Linked DNA regions of Arabidopsis thaliana. The protein of the gene in region 1 interacts with the protein of each later gene in a pairwise test. Each region holds a gene or a part of one and is shown on either strand. Other genes may lie near its edges.

Region 1 (6,188 bases):
GAGAGATTTTTCATGTTAATGAAACACTAGTACATATAGACGTTGTGAAGTTTGTTAGCCGTGATTCTATTGGATATTATTTCTGTACTAAGAGAGCATTAGCTAAAATTTCTGACAAGCTTAACTAATTCCAATTGTGTGAATCATTTGCATCATTGCTGATATTTCCTAACTAATATTATGAAAGGTTGAGGCTCGTAAGTTTTTTGCTTATGAACACATTTTTTCAAGGTAAGTTTCTCAATCTTCATGTTGTTGAAACATATGATTCCTAGAGTATCTCTACTCGTACCCCTCTCATAAATCATTGTGTTTAAAGCCGAGCATCTGCATGATATGTAAGGATCTCTTGCGGTTCTCTTCTTGAGTCTCCAAACTCCAGTTGAGATCCCTGGTGTTAGCAATATGGATTTTCTCGAGAATATAGTATTTGATGCTAGGAACAGAAAACCTGGTCAGCCAAAGATTGAGCCAATGTAGGTGTCTTCGCGCATTAGTCAGTTAGATGGTTTTGGACTGTTACTTAGTTGATGGTGCACACTCATATATCTGATATAGAATTGTGTTCATGCAGTTGGAGGATTTAGAGGTGGCGAAAAGAAGCATAAAGAGATTCTTCCATTTCCAAGCGCAACACATGATAAGAAAGGTGAGGGTTTTCTTACCTTATTTTCCGGTCAATGGAAGACACACACTTGAATACCGTCATTTCCCTTTCCCACACTTGTTCTCTATTAGTGTCATAAACAGAATGCCGAATAGGTTACTTTTCATTTTATAGTCATGACTAGGAAATTTTGTTCCTCATAGCAAGATATGGAAACAGTTGTCAATTTAATTTCGTCATAGTGAAAAGGATCAATCAAGGAACAAGTACGGAAAAGATTGAGAATCTCTGTAATAAGGATCATCTGTTTTTGGAGGTCCTTGGATGTTTACTTGATCAGGACGTGGCAGAGGCAATGAACAGACTTTTGTCACCAAAAAACGCTGTTGTGATGATTGATAATCTACTATCAGAACATACTGCACTACATCAAACCAAGTCTCATACACATCATAGTGAGCGTCTTTGCCACAAATCATATCTTCTTAAATACTGATTCAAACCACCATCTCTTGATAACAATAGTGAGCTTCGTTTTTGTTTTAGGCAAGCATTCTTTCCATATCAAATCAATAACAGAGTGTCCAGAGATTCATACCGTTCTATTGCAGTAGGGACATCTCATTGGCTTATCTACTGGAAAAAGGAAGGGTGCTTGAGTGTTCCGTTAGGACCAGCAAAAACAATGGAAAGTGGTGATCATGATGTTTAGAACACCAAACTCGCCGTCTCTACAATATTAGTTCTGGTCTAGGTTTTGATCTTCAATAATAGCTGTGGTCGGAAGGAGTAATTAGGGTAAAACATAAGGGCGAAGACAAGAATGTGTAGAGCATGTGATTTGTTCAAGCTTTAACATGTGGATGTCTTATTTTTAATGACTGCTCTTTAATATGTGGGTTTTGTTTGCGCATTTTTCACTTGCGGGTTATATTTTTCAAAAGTAGTAAATGATGGGACCATTATAAAAAGGATGTTATTAGGACTCCAGAAAGGAAATTGATTTTATGGAAAATCACCTTTTTACCTCAAAGTTTTAATATATTACTAATTAAGTACCCTTACATAAGAAGCTGCGTTGCCAAGATTGAAGAGGGTGGTGGACTTTGTAATCAAAGATTAATTAAAAAGAGAGTTAAGACAAATCTCAGCGGAAAACTCGGCGGTGATAGATAATCAAAACAAAAGAAACGCGTTTTTCAAACTGGTTCAATCTTCTTCTTCGTCTTTCTTCATCGTCTTCTTCTCTATACAGACCTTGACTCTCTCATTAAATTAACAAATGTCCCTACGGTTTATGCAAGTGTAGTGCTATTAAACTATCCCTTTTATTTTCCCACCCAACTCAATTTATTTTCTCATTCTTTCTCTTTACTCTTCTTCAGATCTCTCTGTTTCTTTCTTTGTTGTTGTTATCTGGGGATGCTTTCTACTCTCTGTTTGGTTTCCTTCATTGTGACTTTCTATTTTCTGGGTTTGTTTCAAGTCATGATTTTTCCGATACCCTTTTGATTTTTCTTGCTATTTCTCACCTCTGTATAAGCAAGCTCTCTGCTGTTTCTCCTCATCCAAGTTGGGTTTATCAGTTCAGCTGTGTAGAAATTCAATCGTCTGAGAAGTCCGAGGTTTGATGTCTGATGGTTTTAAGATCGAAAGGATTTGACTTTTATCAGATTAGTAATGAGATTAGATTGTTTTTGAGGTTATTGTAATCAGATCTTGATGCTATTTCTGGTGAAAGAGATTTAAGACAAGTTAGGGAATGGGTAATACTTGTGTTGGACCAAGCAGAAATGGCTTCTTGCAATCTGTTTCAGCTGCAATGTGGCGGCCAAGAGATGGAGATGATTCGGCTTCCATGAGTAATGGAGATATTGCAAGTGAAGCTGTTTCGGGAGAGCTTCGATCTCGATTATCTGATGAAGTCCAGAATAAACCTCCTGAACAGGTCACAATGCCGAAGCCAGGGACTGACGTCGAGACCAAGGACAGAGAGATTCGAACTGAAAGCAAGCCTGAAACGCTAGAGGAGATAAGCCTTGAGTCCAAACCAGAGACTAAGCAGGAGACCAAGTCAGAGACCAAGCCGGAGTCAAAACCTGATCCTCCAGCTAAACCTAAGAAGCCTAAACACATGAAGAGAGTGTCAAGTGCAGGGCTTAGGACTGAGTCAGTGTTGCAGAGGAAGACTGAAAACTTCAAGGAATTCTATTCCTTGGGAAGGAAACTCGGACAAGGGCAATTTGGGACGACTTTTTTATGTGTCGAGAAGACTACGGGGAAGGAGTTTGCCTGCAAGTCGATTGCTAAGAGGAAGCTATTGACTGATGAGGACGTTGAGGATGTGAGAAGAGAAATTCAGATAATGCATCACTTGGCTGGTCACCCTAATGTCATCTCCATCAAAGGAGCTTATGAGGATGTTGTGGCAGTGCACCTTGTAATGGAGTGTTGTGCAGGCGGCGAGCTTTTTGACAGGATCATTCAACGCGGTCACTACACAGAGAGGAAAGCGGCTGAGCTCACTAGAACCATTGTTGGGGTTGTAGAGGCTTGCCATTCTCTTGGTGTTATGCATCGAGACCTCAAGCCCGAGAATTTTCTGTTTGTCAGTAAACACGAAGATTCCCTCTTGAAGACGATTGATTTTGGACTCTCCATGTTCTTTAAACCAGGTTTGATTTCATTGTTACTCATCTTAAAAGATCCACTTCCAGATTTGGTCTTTAACGTGAATAGTGTGATCCTTGTCGAACAATTATTTCTGAACTCGATTCCCTTCCTCTTTGCAGACGATGTTTTTACAGATGTTGTTGGTAGCCCATATTATGTTGCCCCAGAAGTTCTTCGAAAGCGTTATGGCCCTGAAGCTGATGTCTGGAGTGCTGGAGTGATTGTGTACATTTTATTAAGCGGAGTTCCTCCATTCTGGGCTGGTAAGAATTGTATATATACAGATAAGAGATTTGTCACTTTTCCTAACTAGGCTCTGAACAACATCTCTAATCTTTTTGTTTCTTTGAACATTCAGAAACCGAACAAGGTATTTTCGAACAGGTCCTCCACGGTGATCTTGACTTTTCGTCCGATCCATGGCCAAGTATATCTGAAAGTGCAAAGGATTTAGTGAGGAAAATGCTTGTCAGGGATCCCAAGAAAAGGTTAACTGCCCACCAAGTATTATGTAAGTTATTTTGATCTGAAACCTTCTCTTCCAGTTAAAGCGCTGTGATTCTCTTTCTGTTAATTCCATTGAGCATAGATTTCACTACATGAATAAAGTGTGTTGTCATGTAGAGTGATCTACCATCGTTCTATCTCTTATGGAGTTGTGCTTCTTCTCAGGTCATCCATGGGTTCAAGTCGACGGTGTGGCTCCAGACAAGCCTTTGGATTCTGCTGTTCTGAGCCGTATGAAGCAGTTTTCTGCAATGAACAAGTTCAAGAAAATGGCTCTTAGAGTAAGCAGCTTTCCGATGCTAAACAAAATTTAAAACCATATAAAAGAAGTTCCTGTCATAAACATAAGATAGCTACATTTAACCCATCTTCCTCTTGTTATGTGGAAAGAAAGAGACGACGGAGATTAAGTTTCTCTCTTTATGCCTTTTTGCAGGTCATTGCTGAGAGCTTATCTGAAGAAGAAATCGCCGGCTTGAAAGAAATGTTTAATATGATAGATGCGGACAAGAGTGGTCAGATAACTTTCGAAGAACTGAAAGCAGGACTAAAACGAGTAGGGGCGAATCTCAAAGAGTCTGAAATTCTCGACTTGATGCAAGCTGTAAGTTTTAACCGGCATACCAGTTCCCTAACTAAGATTCTGAACTGATCTTGTTATCATTCAAACTTACTCTGTTGGTTGTGGTTATATACTTCTGTTTTTGCTAGATATGCAAGTAATCTGGTTTCTCTCTCATGTGTATATAATTCAGGCTGATGTGGACAACAGCGGAACAATAGATTACAAAGAGTTCATAGCTGCAACATTACATCTAAACAAAATAGAGAGAGAGGACCATTTGTTTGCAGCCTTTACATACTTTGACAAAGATGGGAGCGGCTATATCACCCCAGACGAGCTTCAACAAGCTTGTGAGGAGTTTGGTGTTGAGGATGTCCGCATAGAAGAACTGATGCGCGATGTTGATCAAGACAATGTAAGTTCCTTTACACCTTTTATCATCTCATCCTAATTATAAAATGACTTGAATACTTCTCAACAATGATCAAATTTCAATGGATTATATACATTTTACTCATAGGAATCTCACTTATATGATCCTCTTAAATCCTTGCATTATTAAAACTACACTTCACTTACCGAGTTTTCATGTCTGTTTTCTTGGGAAAACTGAGACGATTGAGTATGATTCTTGTTAAACCTAGGGGGATAGTAGAAACTCTCTTTCCTGAGAAACAGTGAAGTAAACCGAGTTTTCATGTCGGTTTTGGATTGATATATTGGTTGAATGTTGATAATGTTGAACATTTGAATTGTTGTATTGTAGGACGGGCGAATAGACTACAACGAGTTTGTGGCGATGATGCAGAAAGGAAGCATCACAGGAGGACCTGTGAAAATGGGTCTAGAGAAAAGCTTTAGCATTGCTCTTAAACTCTAGTTTCTCAGTCTATTTAAAAGTACAAAACTAAAGCCAAGAAGACAAAAGAGTTTTCTGATAATATATACCATTTTGATTATGTTGAAGACATATGCACACAGCCAAGATTCTCTCTTGCCCTCTTTTGGATTCTCTCAATCTTTTGGATGAGGTTTTGTCTTAGACTTGTTTTGGAAACTTTGTTGTATTGTGTTACTTCTTGAGCATATATAGTCTTCTAACATTACAAACCACGATTTCTTGTCTGTAAGTAAATTCAAAGAGTCAAAAAACTTGAACACGATTTGGAAATTTTGCGATAACGATCATCAAATTTTTGTGAGGGCTTTTTCTTGTAAAGCAAAAAGTTTGAGTATTTATGTGAAAATCGTTTAAAAGTTGAGGTACTTCTATGTAATTTCCCAGTTTTCTTTTTTTGAGAAATAAAATAACTTAACCGAATTTCAATTAATTTGTTGTCCGAATTATATAATTCAAGTCCTTACCGAATCTAAGCTGAAATCAAATTAAATTATAAGCAGATAATTAAATTGGTCACCGAAAATAATAGCCACCAAACCTCCTAATCCTAAACACGTAGTATTTTGAGATCTTTATTTTCCATTTACATAATTAATTTCTTTTTTATGATTGGAAAAAACGAATAAAATGATCTTTTAGCTAGTGTTTTTGGTCAACATAAATACCTAACTTACTCTTTAGAACAACAAAAAAAATGGAGGAAAAATATAAAAGTGGGTCTCACAATCAAGTTATTTCTCCAAAAATAAATAATTTAAAGCTTGCGTTTGTTGTTGACATTTAAAAATGTTTATTTTGGGGTACGACTTTTTAATTTATAAAATTATTAAATTGGTTTTATTTAAATAAACTGATTAAATTGTCTATTTCAAAACTGCGTCCCTATCCCTTTTAAATTTCCTAATTTCAGTCCACAAAACGTGATCATGATTACT
Region 2 (3,987 bases), on another chromosome or scaffold:
TTAGAAGCAAACCTTATAGATCATGAGGTGGTAACTGAATCATCATCATCAGCTGTGCCTCAAACCGAGAACTATAAAAGGTGGCTTCGTGTCTCCATATACGTAATCTTTGTCCTCTTTTGCCAGCCACTAGCTACAATTCTGGGTAGATTGTACTATGAAAATGGAGGAAATAGCACATATGTGGTAACACTTCTTCAACTCATTGGCTTCCCTGTACTGGTTCTGTTCCGCTTCTTTTCTCGAATCAGGCAACCCAAATCAACAGATACAAATTTCAGTCAGTCCCCTTCCTTCACCACCCTTGCATCGGTTTACTTGTGCACTGGACTGCTAGTGTCCGCTTATGCTTATTTGTCTGCAGTAGGGTTGCTCTACTTACCAGTCTCTACTTTCTCCCTCATCTTGGCCTCACAGTTGGCCTTCACTGCCTTTTTCTCATATTTCCTTAACTCGCAAAAGTTCACTCCTTTGATAGTCAGTTCTTTGCTTCTCCTCACTGTATCCTCTGCTCTTCTTGTGGTCAACACTGATTCAGAAAACTCAACTAATGTATCTAGAGTACAGTATGTGATCGGGTTCATATGTACCATCGGTGCTTCCGCTGGGATTGGACTGTTACTATCTCTGATACAAATGCTCTTCAGGAAAGTTTTCACGAAGCATACATCCTCAGCAGTCACGGACTTGGCCATTTACCAGTCTCTAGTTGCGAGTTGTGTAGTTCTCATAGGACTTTTTGCAAGTGGAGAGTGGGAAACTTTGCCAAGTGAGATGAGAAACTACAAACTCGGGAAAGTGTCATATGTTTTGACTTTAGCCTCGGCAGCTATTTCCTGGCAAGTCTACACTCTTGGTCTTGTGGGATTGATCTTCGAGTCATCCTCTGTGTTCTCCAATTCCATAACAGCTGTGGGATTGCCTATAGTTCCAGTTGCGGCAGTGATAGTTTTCCATGATAGAATGGACGCATCAAAAATCTTCTCCATTATTTTAGCTATCTGCGGCTTCCTTTCATTCGTCTATCAGCACTACCTCGACGAAAAGAAGTTGAATACTAGCCACACAAGTGCTGTAGGAGATCTTCATCTACCTGTTGAGGAAGGTCACACAAACATACAAAGTGTGTGATCAAAGCATATTTCCAGTATAAAGCCAATGTATCTTTCTTTTTTTCCCCTCAAAGGCCAAAGCCAATGTATCTTTGTACAGTTTGAGCATAAAAAACGTGTAACGCTACTTTGCAAACTAGTCAGTCATAATAGCTAATAAGTTTTGTACATATGATACCAATAATTTCAGAATATTTTTCTTCTATATATACCAATAAGTTTTCTTAAAGATGCAAATGCAATACTCTGCTTTGTAATTTTGCAATGCATTTGAAACACCGAATCAAGAGCAAACAACGAAGTCAGAGAGACAAATAGGCTAAAACAGAGCTTTGAGCAAAAAAAAAAAACAAGTGAACAGATATAATACCCACTTACTTGGAAGCCACTGACATAACAGATAAACAATGTAGTGACTTGCAACAAAACTCCTTAAAATACCAAAAACGTATACTCTAGGAGCTTGGCTTCTTGTATCTTTGTTGACTTCTGATTTAACGTCAATAGACACTGAGGAAAAAGAGTTCTCTTAGAGCCGCCATTCAAAAGTTTTAAGAATTTTAAGTCAAGTGTAAGCAAATAAGAAAGGTCAATGGTCAGCATGAGACTACTAAATTATGATACTGCTGTCATCTATCACCTGACCCATCTTTATTATTATACACAAATTAGTAAAAGTCTGCCAAGTTTGATTAGTGCAACTTGTATCTGGGGTATTTAGTTACTATAATAAATATCATTTTGTGTATAAAGAAAGGTCTCTTCTGTATCTAAAAGACATATCAAACGAAAGAAATCAATAAACACAATATTCTTTCTTCCAAATTTTCTCATTTCTCATGGGCATATCTCAAGTACACTATTGCAATGGTAAGCAAAAGGTACCTGATGACGTTAGATCATTTGATCCTCTTTCGATGAAATATAATAACCACGAGTGTTAATTTTTCAGGTGACCAGAACTTAGAAGCAAACCTTCTAGATCATGAGGAAACTGAATCATTTTCAGTACCTCAAACGAAGAACTGTAAGAGGTGGCTCCGTGTCTCCATATACGCAATCTTTGTCATCTTCTGCCAACCACTTGCTACAGTTCTGGGTAGACTGTACTATGAAAATGGAGGGAAAAGCACATATGTGGTAACACTTCTTCAACTCATTGGCTTCCCTGTACTGATTCTCTTCCGCTTCTTTTCTCGAATCAGGCAACCCAAATCAACAGATACAAATTTCAGTCAGTCCCCTTCCTTCACCACCCTTGCATCGGTTTACTTGTGCACTGGACTGCTAGTGTCTGCTTATGCTTATTTGTCTGCAGTTGGGTTGCTTTACTTACCAGTCTCTACTTTCTCCCTCATCTTGGCCTCACAGTTGGCCTTCACTGCCTTTTTCTCATATTTCCTTAACTCGCAAAAGTTCACTCCTTTGATAGTCAATTCTTTGTTTCTCCTTACGGTTTCCTCTGCCCTCCTCGTGGTCAACACTGATTCAGAAAACACAACAAATGTATCTAGAGTACAATATGTGATTGGGTTCATCTGTACCATTGGTGCTTCCGCTGGGATTGGATTGGTACTATCTCTGATACAACTGCTCTTCAGGAAAGTTTTCACGAAGCATACATCCTCAGCAGTCCTGGACTTGGCCAATTACCAGTCTCTAGTTGCAACTTGTGTGGTACTCATAGGACTGTTTGCAAGTGGAGAGTGGAGAACTCTGCCAAGTGAGATGAGAAACTACAAACTGGGGAAAGTGTCATATATCTTGACTTTGGCCTCAGCAGCTATTTTCTGGCAAGTATACACTGTTGGTTGTGTGGGATTAATCTTCGAGTCTTCTTCTGTGTTCTCCAATTCCATAACTGCTGTGGGACTGCCTATAGTTCCAGTTGTAGCAGTGATAGTTTTCCATGATAAGATGGATGCATCAAAGATTTTCTCCATCATTTTAGCTATCTGGGGCTTCCTTTCATTTGTCTATCAGCACTACCTCGACGAAAAGAAGTTGAAGACTTGCCAGACAAAACCTGTTGAGGAAGAAACACAAACTTTATGAAACAAGTTGTATCGAAGGTCTCAGAAACAAACATACATAGTTGTACACAGTCATGTAAATAACCTATATAAAGCTTGTATGTGTAATATCCGTAATGGTCCATGCAAATGGGATATGTATGTCGCTCATATTTCAGGTATTTAGAACTTTTATTCAAAAGAGTATTGTGTAATACGAGCAGAGTGATAAAAGCAGTCATTTATTTAACAGAAAAACCATGTCAATTTTGTGATACTTTCATTGTGTGAGTGTGAAACCCGATAAAAATTGACCAGTTAGCATAACTTACAGATATGTCAATGCAATATTCTCCTTTCTAGTTTTGAAATGCACCTAAATCTTGGGAAACAAGAACAAACAGCAAATCATGTATAATGAGAGATAGAAGATAATTTGTCAGATTGGTCCAACATCCTTGGGGAAACAGAGCTTTGAACAAAAAGTAAATGACCAGAAATAATACCATTTTATATAGCGACTTCCTCTGCCGTCCAGTATTAAGTTGTTGCGAATGTCTTCTCTTGAAAAGATAGGCGAGACATAATCTTTAGCTAACGTCAGCATCATCTTGATGGCAAAAACTTCATGACTAGCCATGGAAACCGAAGTGTGTACCCAATCCAAATAAATTTAAAAAGACAAATAACTTTTAGAAATGTCGTCCTCATCAAGATCACAGAATACTACAACTTGTGTACACGTTCATACATATGCGTATGCGTGTTAAGTTTCTATTTGTCTATGCGTATGGGGTTCATGTCCTCCACATAGTTGCAGAAGAAAGTCTGAATGAATATTGCCTACACATAATTTCCTCCTA

What was found. The genes of interacting proteins can lie anywhere in the genome.
Region 2: the proteins of CPK1 (region 1) and AT4G18205 interact in a protein complementation assay, tested with the Arabidopsis thaliana proteins (one large-scale study listed by BioGRID).

Annotation. Positions count from the first base shown.
Region 1 is NC_003076.8:1,416,059-1,422,246, reverse strand, and holds CPK1 (calcium dependent protein kinase 1), read left to right. Parts: upstream 1-1,692; 5' UTR 1,693-2,369; coding exon 2,370-3,282; intron 3,283-3,399; coding exon 3,400-3,543; intron 3,544-3,638; coding exon 3,639-3,791; intron 3,792-3,952; coding exon 3,953-4,068; intron 4,069-4,223; coding exon 4,224-4,391; intron 4,392-4,542; coding exon 4,543-4,767; intron 4,768-5,118; coding exon 5,119-5,232; 3' UTR 5,233-5,683; downstream 5,684-6,188. UniProt on the Arabidopsis thaliana protein: May play a role in signal transduction pathways that involve calcium as a second messenger. Phosphorylates the Ca(2+)-ATPase ACA2 resulting in the inhibition of its calcium activation.
Region 2 is NC_003075.7:10,071,899-10,075,885, forward strand, and holds AT4G18205 (Nucleotide-sugar transporter family protein), read left to right. Parts: upstream 1-1,812; 5' UTR 1,813-1,951; coding exon 1,952-1,982; intron 1,983-2,064; coding exon 2,065-3,167; 3' UTR 3,168-3,472; downstream 3,473-3,987. Other genes in the region: PUP7 (purine permease 7), read left to right, coding at 1-1,131; AT4G18203 (uncharacterized protein), read right to left, coding at 846-1,022, 1,554-1,601, 1,753-1,761.